3 linked regions of the Arabidopsis thaliana genome follow. The protein of the gene in region 1 interacts with the protein of each later gene in a pairwise test. Each region holds a gene or a part of one and is shown on either strand. Other genes may lie near its edges.

Region 1 (3,227 bases):
ACATCTTTAGCACAAGGAATTGTGAGGTATGTCCTCTGATGATCTGTGCCAAATTCATCTTCGGCTTTACGCAACAAGGCTTGGAACAAAGGATGGTTTAAGTAAGATATTGGAACCACAAATCTCTTCGTCTCCATCTCGTCTTCTCCAACATATACCGCAAAGTGACCCTTTCGTACGTTGATTATGTGTCTTAAACGCGATATCTTTTTATCGAGTACTCTCTTGACTTGAAAAACTATAGTCTTGAATCGAATCATATCTATCTTTCAAATGAACTGACTTTTGTATAGCTTGAACGAAGATACATGCGTAGACTTTGTGGCTTTATCAATTTTATAGGGGTGAAGGTTTGTTGCTTTTAGGAGTAGTAATTCATTGTTATAAATATTAAAGGATTTTGTAACATATAAAATAGTAAATGAAATAAATAATGGATATGTAGCATCTAAAATACATATTGTGATAAAATTTGTATTTTTTTCTCTAACTTTAAGAATTAAAAATATTATCTTCTATCTTAATTTTTAAAATGAATCTATCACATTTTCTCATTATATTTTTTTTTTTCAACTTAAAATTTGCAAACAATATAAGACTTCACAAAAAAAAAAAGTTATCTAATTTAAGATGAAACTCATAAATATTTATGAATACATCAATTAGAGTATTAGCTAATCTTCATTTATATATGTTTCCTTAAAATTTTAGAATCTACCAACTGTATTAGTGCGGGCCGCAAAAATGGTATCAGATTAAGGTGAACTCTGAATATTATATATGATTAAGATCTTAAATGGATATACTGTATAAATTTTCCTTATAAAAATACATTTTTATGTTTAAATAGATATTTGTGGAGAATTTTTGCATTCGCAGACACTTGAAACTCACTAATTGAACTTCCTTTCACTCAACAGAAACAATATAATGTGAAGTCTTAATTAGTGCATGATTTTTTTTCAGTAAAAAGCAGTAGTAAATTAAATTAAAATTGTCTCATTTTTGAAAAATTGTATAAAACAAATGATTGTTTAAAAAAATACTCATTATATTTAAGATAAACACAAAAAACTTGTTTAGATCACTCATGCGTTGATCGCGTGATTACACAAGCCTAATATTTGTTATGTTCAATTTCTCTCTGCAACTCTTCTCTTCCCAAACACTAAACCATCTATCTATGTCAAGCAACTATTTTAGGCCTAAATGCGAAGAACATGCATCTACACAATCAAAAAGATAAGAGAAAAAAGGGATAGTAGGCCATAGGCAGCAAATAGCTATAGATCTATGGGGATTTTGTTTTCGATCTATATCGATCACTAAACAGTACTATGTTGTTTGTTCAAATTTCAGTCTAGCCACAGTCACAATCATCCTCATAATCACATGCAAAGATGCGAGATTCAGATCTTATCTAATGGCAAATAAATTGATCAAAACTATCTATGGAGCTGAAAATTTAACAAACAAATACATCACACATATTTTAATATAATACTAAAAGATTTGTTATTTCAAAATTATATATGGAAAACCATCTCGTTACTCATCTTTCGTCCCAGCAGTACGGCCCCTAGTTTGAGAGCGAAGGAAAATATACTTTAAAAGACTTTGGAACTTATTATACATACTCTTTCAACTATAACAATCTCCAATATTGCTAAAAGTGGCTCAAGAACTGGACCCACTTAGTCTGATCCAAGTCACATTATTCACCATTTCGAGGCTCTAATTTAATATAAATACCTAACTTTTTATATATATTTGCAATCATATACAAGAAACTTATGTTATGTGCATTTTATTTTTATATAAAGATGAGCTAAGCCATGTGAGCCAGATGGATGACGGGAGGGCCCAACAGCCCACAACTTTTTTTTTTTTTTTTTAGTAATCAAAATATCGCATCGTACTGTTTTTTTAGCATTGAAAGTCTTTTCCTTATCTTGAAGTTACATACTTTAAGTTCACTACTATAAATAGAAACTTCTTCCCCTCGTTGTCTATCAAGTCATTTACTTTTTAAAAAAATTTACCTAAACAAATTGATAAGTTCCAAACATAAATAAGAAGACATGGGTTTAATGAGGTCGATGCTTCCAAATGCAAAGCAAATCTTCAAATCACAATCTATGAGGAACAAGAACGGATCATCCTCACCATCAACAACAACAACAACTTCAGGGCTTGTTCCGAAAGGTCACGTAGCGGTTTACGTTGGAGAACAAATGGAGAAGAAGAGGTTTGTGGTTCCAATATCATACTTGAACCATCCTTTGTTCAGAGAATTTCTTAATCGCGCTGAGGAAGAATGCGGATTTCATCACTCTATGGGTGGCTTGACGATACCTTGTCGAGAAGAGTCGTTTCTTTATCTCATTACTTCTCATCAGCTGCATTGAGGAACGCATTAAGTGATGTAATAGTCTTGAGGGATTTAATTAAGCTGTTTTTCTTTCCTCTTTTAAGAGGAGAATTATAGGGAAGTTACTTATGTGTGTATATGGTGACACTTGTTCAGAGCTTAAGTTGTATTTTGAAATAAGTTTTTTTTTTTTTTTTTTAAATAAGATTTGAAAAGCTAGTTGAGCTAAAATTTATATTCAAATCATTAAAAGCTTTTAACTTTTAGTCTTTTACAGTAAAAATGGTGGAAAATAAACGAAACTTTAAATGCGGTAAAAAAACAAATTATTATATATATCTAATGGTTGAAAAATCCATCTTACAAAGATGAGAATTTTTTTGAAATTATCACACAGTAAATCATCATTTGATGATCTCCTGCAACATGTGACATGCCTAGACGTTATTTTACTATCTATTACATTAGCGTTTAGAAAAGCATCATATAATAAAAACAGAAAATTTTCACATAATGGAAATCTCAATTATAAGTTTTCATTTGTTTTGTATTTTATATACCCAGCTCTGACTTACATCATAAATATAGTATCTCAAAAAAAAAAAAAAAGGACTTTTTCAAGGAATTGAAAGTATTTTAAAGGATGGTGGATCACATGCACTCTGAAGAAACTAAAATGGGTTGTAAGTGAATAAGTGATTAATAACATTAGTATGATCTATATATGTTCTTCAAATGCATAAATCATATTTATTGAAAATGATTGAAACAGTACTGCACAATTTTATCATAGTGAACTTTGTCACAATAAATGAAATAAATCATATCCAAATTATTGCATATTTAGATTGTCAAG
Region 2 (4,616 bases), on another chromosome or scaffold:
TGTCCTATATGACGAAACCAATGGTCCATGCATCTTATTAGCTCAACGGGTATTTTTCTTATTTGTGTTATCAGAGATTTCGTTAAGGAGGCTGCGAAAGGAGGAAAAGGGAATTTGCCTATAGACGGAACTATGGAGATAGTGAAGACAGAAGCTTGGGATGGTAAAGATGGAGAGGTGGTTGATGCAGATGAATTCTCACTTGAAGACCTCATGGGAAATGATGATGAAGCCTCCACTGAGTCCAAGGACGACTTGTGAACTTCTCTTTTACCTCATTGATAAGGGTTTTGGTTTCTTGAAAGACTTAAAGTGTCCCACTCAAGGACAATGATATCATTTCAAAGAGTTAGAACAGAGTATACACTTTTAGATTCCATATACAGAATTTGGTGAATTTTTCGACTTTTATATGAAGTTGAACAAGCTGGCTAACAGTCTAACCACTTGACCAACTAATTCGTCGACATATTATTTACCATAGCCTATTTTCATACCACAGTAATTACAAAGACTATTTTATTTCAGACAGAAATATCATTCACAGATTAGTCAACATTAAGTACAAAAGTATTATACAAAGCTTTGTTCGTTTTGGTCGCTGAGTCTGGTCCAAATGCCAAACCAGTAGCGACACTTACAACCACCAATTGTAAACTACAACGAGTTAGGTTTCCAAGTCGTAGATCGTGGTAGCTTCAAAGCCATTGAGGCTGTTGGGACGAATCCAAGTAGGCGACATCGCTGCAAACTGTGATTTCAGATTCTGAGCAGATGATTTCCGCATTCTGAAGTGTGAATCCGTGCATTATGGGCAACGGGAATCCCTTTTCTAGGTGGTCATTTGCATATGGCACAAACACTGTTTGTATAACAGTCCACACTATTGGCTAGAAGATCGGAACAAGATAAAGAAACACGTGTGAATGCTAAGAATGAAAGAAACAAACATGCGAGTGCTTTAAACACTTGACATGATGGTTTTACCTGAAGAAGATGCAGATGGAGATTTCCAATGTTGCTCCATTTCAAAGACATGGAGAAATCTTCTAAACTTACGCTGCCTCCAAGGTTATTGCCCATGACTCTGAGAGCACCAGATCCCCGGATCATCTGCAGCCAAGGAAACAGTGAATCATCTATTGGTAAACCGACATCACTGCAAATTTGCTTATAGTAAGTAACTAAAACAAAAGATATGGAGCATTGTCATTGGAGGACTCACCAAGGAGATGCAAGCTACAGGTATTACTTGGTTTGCATCTAGAACATTGATTACTAGGTCTGCATTAACATTAGCTCCAACGTATTGCTCTGATATCTTTACAAGCGGAGGTGAGGACAAACTGATGTTCAGATTCATATCCTGGTTCGGGTATTTCTTGTATAGTTGTGGAATGATGAACCTCCACCTAGCAGTGTTTAAAAGAGACTGCTCTGGTATTTTATCCACAACCCATTGCACAAAGTCTGCCTGAATATGGCAAGAGTGAACATCCTCATATTAGAAACAACGGTGGAAAACAGTAATATTGATGTATCGGAAACATATAGAACAGTTTTATCAAGAGCATTCTTTCTAGTTGGAACCTAAGGAATTAGGAAATTAGGAACTTACATTATAGTACAAAGCTGCAGCAGAGTTAAAAACAGCTTCGTCAACTGAAATTCCGAGCATTTTAGAATTTCCAGGGCAGATAACTAAAGATACAGACTTTTTGAAGAAGGATTTTAAGACTTGATTTGTTTCTCCTTTGGTGAACAAGCCATCAATCTCAAAAGTGATAGATGAATTTCTCAATATAGGATCACTGGTGAAAGTGACATTAAGGTCAGCATTATCATCCACTGGGATTTCCTTTGGAAGGCTTTGTAGGAATGAATCAAGGTCTGATACTCCTTCCGTGAGTTTCTTGGCAATGGTACTTTCCACACTTGACCCAATTTGGTCTTTAAATGCATTAACCATCCTGAATTGCAGAGAAGAGAATGAAGTTTAAAATGAAAAACAAACCAACACCTGTCTTGCAATAAGAGGGAGTGGATCTATCATCAATAAGCAAATTATTTCGTACCCCTGATAAAACCATGATGCTCCTCCTTCCAACTCAATGGTAATGTCTTCCACATGGCATCCACATTCCGAAAGAGAAAGTTTTAAGCCTCCTTCATCACTTTTCAAGCCTAGAGAGAGCCCGATTTCCATGCCTTGAACCTTACCGAGAAGGCGAGAATCAGCACTCATCAAATTCCCTTTGTAAAACAGATATAAAAATGAGCAGATCACAGCAACAACTAAAACCAACACATGGAAATGGTAAACAGAGAGCAACAGTCACCTCTGATTCCCATATGCAACTATGTTCTAAGACATATAACAATCACGAAACATAAGGATACAAAACAGAACAGAAATTTGTGATTCGCAAGAAAAATCTTGTCTTTCCATTGATTCACAAGATTGAGATGATCAAAACTAAGAATTAGTAAAATTGATCATAATTACCTGAACAGATGCAATACCCTGATCAGATATTTCAATAGGAGGAAGCCAAGTACTGTAAGAATAATGCCAATTCATACTCAAATTACAAGTCGTCCCTGAAGCGACGATGACAACACCTGTCTCACCAAGCTTAACATAAGATGACGCAACGTCAAGCTCGTATATCGTGAGATTCGAGACAACAACATCGATTCCTCCAAGGAACGGGATTTTCATAGATTTCTCAATTCTGGGAATCTGGAGAGGTATAATCGACGCGATAGCTTTGTTAACTAGAAGATTTTTGACGAAATCGAGTCCGTTTTGAGATACGAGAACCGATGTGAATGAATCGGTGCTCTGCGTTTGTGAAGGCAAGAAGAAGAAACTTGGTAATAGAAGAAAGAGAAAGCATCGTCCAACATCCATGGCGGATATTCAAAGCTTTTTTTGTTTTGGTCTCTCTATCTTCTTCGATGAAGAAAACAGGTTAATACAGTGAAGTTGCGTAATGGTTTGGATTATTGAGAAATGTCTAAAATAACCTTAGTCATTCGATTTGCATTGCCTTCTGGGGTAATCTGATTCAAAAGGAAGTGTTTGGGGTGAATACATAAATTGTTAAAATATTAATGTTTCTGGTCAATCAAAGCTAAAGCTGAGGTCTATAGGGCAATAAAAGTATAAATACATATGTAATTGTATATACTGTACATATTAACGTTTGATATGTATATAAGCTCAAGTGGTGTTAAATATTCTAATATGTGTCTAAGGACAATAGTTCGATTAAAATTGGAAGCTTCGGGGGTAAGAACATAAGTTTTGAAAAGTATTTATCTTTGTGGTAAATCAAAGCTAAAATTGAGGTCTAAAGGGCAAAAGGGTGTCATAATTGGTCTCTCGCGGTGGCTTGGCGACACGGAACAGAGAATTAATCGAGAATCTTTTTCAGCTTGTAACCGGAATTCATGGCGATGCAAGCCGGTGTTCAGACCTCTAAGGTCCTTATCCTACTCGGCGCAGGTCTCTTTCTCACTTTGATGCTTGTTTTATTATCTTTGCTTGTTGTAATCAAATTCGATTCGTATTGCTTTGACTCTCTAATCTAGGGAATTGTTTTATGAAGAGTTAGGGTTTGAATTTATCTTGGCAAATTGATTGATCACTTTGCTAAAATGGTCCAGAACTTCTAATCTTCAATCGTTAGTGTAGTTTTGATGGTAATACAGCTTGGATGTAGCAAGAATGATTTAGTTATTCTAGCTTGGATGTTCCATTTAATGACCTTTAATGACACTTGGTTCTGTTTTCATCATGTCCAAGGTGTATCTGGTTCGATCGTATTGAGACATGGGAGGTTGTCTGACCTAATAGCCCAACTTCAAGACTTACTCAATGGTGCTCAAGGAGTTGAAAGCACTCCTTTTAAGTATGACGGTGCACTCCTTGCTGCTCAGGTATTTCATTTTCTTTTGCTCTGTAAGCTTATTTTTCTCATCGATCCAACATAAACAATCGGAATAGAAAATAATTCATCACTCTTTATCACTAGGCCAATACTGGACTCCCCTCTTAGTGACATAATTTTTGTTGTCTCTTGATAACCAGATTCGACAGCTTGCAAACGAGATCAAAGAACTAACTATGACCAATCCAGTTACCATCTTTAATGGAGATTCAAACTCCAGTGGTATGTACAAGTCTTAGTTTCTCATAAAATATTTATGTACTACTTTTGATAATGTAGGAAATGTTTCAAATATGTTTATTTTTTATGAGAAACAGAGAATGATATAATCTTTGCTTTTGCTCTTGTAGGCTATGCATCTTACCTGGTTCCAGCGGCTGCCGTTGGAGCTATGGGGTACTGCTACATGTGGTGGAAGGTGTTTATCTCTTTAAAATCTGTCTATTTTTCTCTATGTTTCATGTGTCTTTTGTTATAGTTTTGTAACATGTGGTTTACCGGTAAACTATATATCATTGACTTCTAAGGTTTACCCACATTGCAGGGCTGGTCGTTTTCAGATGCAATGTTTGTGACAAAGAAAAATATGGCTGATGCGGTTGCCTCTGTTTCGAAACAACTAGACGATTTGTCAGACACATTAGCGGTGAACAAATAATT
Region 3 (3,904 bases), on another chromosome or scaffold:
GCAAAATTTTGTGCATACGTGTTGAAAACTGGAATTTAAAGAACTTCTTTCACCATATATTTTTTTAAATAGAAAAATTAATGAGTTGCAGTAATACCACCAAGAGTCTGACTGGAGAACTAACCAGCACAAATAGCTGTAACATTTTGCGGCTGTAATCGAATTCAAATCCTCCTAATGCTTTTTTTTGACAACAAATATAGGTTGATCTTATATTTAATAAATCAAAGTAAAAGAAATATATTTTTAAAAAACATAACTTTTTATACATGAAAAAATATATACAATTAAACTGAATAACATACATAATCATTATATAACGTGAACACATGTTTAGTCATGATCTACTACTTATACAACGAAAACACAATTGAACACATCAGAAAATGTTGCACAACAACTTGAATTCGAATTCTGGAGCAATCAAAGCCGATTATATAGAAAAAGAAAATTCTCTAAAATAGCATGAAGTACAAATACTTAGGACACAATTACTTTGGATCAAAATTATGAATCAGATTCTTTTTGGTAACTTTCTCGTTTAAAAATACAAATGTCTCCCAATGCCCTCCCAAAAAAAACTGATCGATTCATCCACAAATATTAAGTAAAATAAAATAAAACAACTCAAAACACCGATCGATGTCAGTCAGTAGCGACAGTGACAACGTAAATTAATGGTTCCGATAAGTCTCCGTTGGTTTGCGTTGTTGTTATTACCACATCAACGCCTTCAGTACACGTTAGCTTTCTGGCTCTAATTGCTTCTTTCTCCCAGTCCGTAGTAGCCACGACATATAGCATCATGGCAGCACAACATATCTGAGCAGCTAAAAGACCTACCCAAAGTCCGCAAAATCCATATGCGGCCCAAAACGTTAGCCCAACGGCTACAGGCGTTCCAACGAGGTAAAACGCTCCTAGGTTTATGTTCGCTGCCATGGACGGCCGTGCAGTGCCTCTAACAACCCCGCAACCTACTGTTTGCGGGCAGTTCCCGAGCTCGCAAAGCCCGAGAATCGGCAACGCGGCTGCGGTTAATTTGATGATAGCAACGTCGTTTGTGAAGATCCATCCCCAGACATCGCTTACGCCCCAAGCAAACGCAGACGCCGTCAGACCCATTACCCCAGCAAAGGAAACCGCCACTATGGCTGATAACCTAGCCTTGTTTGGGCGGTTTGAGCCAAGTTCGTTACCAACTCGGGTGGAGACTGCTAACCCTAGAGACGATGGGAAAATGTAAAGCAAAGACGTCGTTTGGATAAGAATGCCCATTGATGCCACTGGAGTACTAGGGTCTATGAGTAAACCACATAGAACGGTCATTATCTCGTACCACCACCACTCTAGGCATACCCCGATGCAGCTAGGTATGGCTAGGGTTACGACTGGTCCCCAATCTTTGAAACATTCCGAGCTGGGGCGGGTCCACGTTGGCTGGTGTAGACCTGCGATCCAAACATGGGCCACAAGGAAAATGACAACAAGAAGATTTGAAGCGGCTGCGGCCATTGAAACGCCCATGAAACCCCATCCGAGGTAAGAAACGAGGAAAAAGTTCATGGGTATGTGGAAGATGGTGCCAGCGAGTGTTGCGAGAGTTAAAGGGCTTGTGATACCTTGTGCTCGAAGGTATATACGAAGAGGGTGAAGAAAGGAATTGGTGAGCAGATCAGGAATAGAGCAGAGGATATATGTTTGGGCCAACGATGAGATACTTGGATCTTGATGAAGATAAATCATGATCTTCCCCAGGTTGAGCCATAGAGCGACGATTACTACCGAACTTGTGAGTAAGAAAAGTACGGTTCGTTGAAGCGTTAAAGAGAGGAGTTTTGGTCTGCCGGCTCCAAAGGCTTGCGAACAGAGTGGGTCCATGCCGAGTGCAAGACCTGCTAGAACGGAGTAGCCAGTGATGTTAGCGAAGGCAATGGCCAGGGAGCCACCAGCTAGCTCTAGTTCACCGATATGCCCGAGGAAGAGCATCGAGATGGCGGAGCGAGCGTAGAGGATGAGGGCCGCGAGGATTGTCGGGAAGGCTAAGGAGAAGAGAGACCTAGCCTCACTTTTAAGCTCAGTGATTGTCGGGAAAATGGGGGCAGGGTTTTGTTTTTCCAGGTCTATCTTCGATAGAAGATTTGTGTGGCTGATGATGTTTGGGGTTTCCATTTTGTCTCTGTGAAATAAAAGACACAAGACGATTATGGTTACAAGATATGATTACCAGCAGAACACTTCTGGTTTATATACACAAATTACCTATATGTCCGTCACGTCGGACTTAGCGAAGGAGTCAAATGATAAAAGTCAAATATTTATTAAAAGGATAGACTTTATGTTTTAATGTTTAAAAAAGGTTAATTACAGAAAGAACACTTTTCTTTTAGAAGGTGCTGTGAAGATAAGACTTCTTAAAATGTTAAAGAAGTTAGGCATTTTTGTAATCTTTTTTTTTTGGGTCTACAAGGTTGTTTTAGATTATTATCTTTTTAATTTTAATAGTGAAAAAATCCCTTTTTTCTATAAGAACATCTTTAATTTGTATGTTTTCACAATACTTTTATGAAAATGCCTAATTTTAGTTCTGATTTTATTAAATGGGATTCTGGTAACATTAATTCAAGTTTATCAGATTTATTATAAAAGTTTGGAAATTAGAAAATCTTATCCTTGAAAATTTTGTGCCATATATTGCCGAACGCCACGTGATATTTTATAAATTACTATATTAGATATGTATTTTATTAATATTTTTTTTCAAAAATTTTAAATTAAATTTACTATTTTCAACATTTACATTTTGTTTTACCTTTTACTAAAATTCATATGTATATTATAATGTCTAGATATAAAATTTGACGTGTCGTGTTTTTATCGGTATGTACTTTTGTTTTTTTCTTAAGTATTGCTTATTAAGTTAGATGTAATCTTATAATTTTTTTTTGTTTTTTAATCAAAGTTGTGCATTTCCTAGATTTTTTCTTAAAAATAACTTTGTGATTGAAAATGATTCAAAAAACGCTAACCAGAACTTGAGAGGAGGAGAATGAGCGGTCCAGTTTTTCTAGTTAAAACAAATTTAGTTATAGAGGGCCAGATCAATTGATCCTCCTTTTTGATTGATTGATATGGAAAAAAAATCATAAAACCAATTGGACCAGAGGGACATGATCGATATGCATTAAGATCTATATTTTTGAACAATATATGATCATTTTTTACGTGCTATGACCATATTGCAACCATTCATATGTGTAAATGTCAAATGTCACTAAACCAAGTTTTTTGTATTGTGAGCTATGTAGAATATTTTTTCAAGAAGAATGTATTGTTAGGGATATGAAACATATTAAAAAAATAGTTTTGGTGGCGTAGTCTCCTATGAATGAGCTGTTTTATCCAATCGGTTAGATGAGTTTGAATAGCTCCATGGCTTCTTCTTCTTTTTCATCAAAAAGATTCTATTGATAAGGTTTAAAGTGAATTACAAAGAGCCGGCAAGTACATGAACACTTCCGGAAACATTAGTCGGCGAGTACAAGAACACCAGAAACAATGATCAAACAAAGTAAACAAAGGGAAAAAAACCCGAGCAAATAAACTACACAACATCCATTAATACTTTCTGGATCAGAATCTGGAAATTCAAAAAAAAGATTAACAAAACCTAAACCTTGCAAATTAAAACAAAACTGAGACTTAGAAAAACACACAAACAGATTATAATACAAGAATCTTCTTTATAACAAGTTAAAACCAAATGAAAGTGTCGTGTGACCCTCTTTATAATACTCTCGAGAAGTCACAGAGGCGGTGAAACGCATCCAAAAAAATAGAGACTCAAAGAACGTCTCTTGAAGAAAGGAAGAAGATCTAGATTTACGATGGCGAAATTTCTTAA

The links. The genes of interacting proteins can lie anywhere in the genome.
Region 2: the proteins of AT4G34790 (region 1) and AT1G04970 interact in a protein complementation assay, tested with the Arabidopsis thaliana proteins (one large-scale study listed by BioGRID).
Region 3: the proteins of AT4G34790 (region 1) and AT5G19700 interact in a protein complementation assay, tested with the Arabidopsis thaliana proteins (one large-scale study listed by BioGRID).

Annotation. Positions count from the first base shown.
Region 1 is NC_003075.7:16,592,458-16,595,684, forward strand, and holds AT4G34790 (SAUR-like auxin-responsive protein family), read left to right. Parts: upstream 1-1,904; 5' UTR 1,905-2,081; coding exon 2,082-2,408; 3' UTR 2,409-2,696; downstream 2,697-3,227. Other genes in the region: AT4G34780 (SAUR-like auxin-responsive protein family), read right to left, coding at 1-260.
Region 2 is NC_003070.9:1,409,514-1,414,129, reverse strand, and holds AT1G04970 (lipid-binding serum glycoprotein family protein), read right to left. Parts: upstream 3,043-4,616; 5' UTR 2,915-3,042; coding exon 2,507-2,914; exon of another isoform or gene 2,246-2,506; coding exon of another isoform or gene 2,216-2,245; coding exon 2,076-2,215; intron 1,971-2,075; coding exon 1,619-1,970; intron 1,475-1,618; coding exon 1,226-1,474; intron 1,114-1,225; coding exon 988-1,113; intron 891-987; coding exon 699-890; 3' UTR 503-698; downstream 1-502. Other genes in the region: PDIL2-2 (PDI-like 2-2), read left to right, coding at 75-261; AT1G04960 (golgin family A protein (DUF1664)), read left to right, coding at 3,706-3,945, 4,097-4,178, 4,307-4,374, 4,501-4,602.
Region 3 is NC_003076.8:6,660,176-6,664,079, forward strand, and holds AT5G19700 (MATE efflux family protein), read right to left. Parts: upstream 2,289-3,904; 5' UTR 2,173-2,288; coding exon 646-2,172; 3' UTR 503-645; downstream 1-502. UniProt on the Arabidopsis thaliana protein: May act as a negative regulator of hypocotyl cell elongation in the light.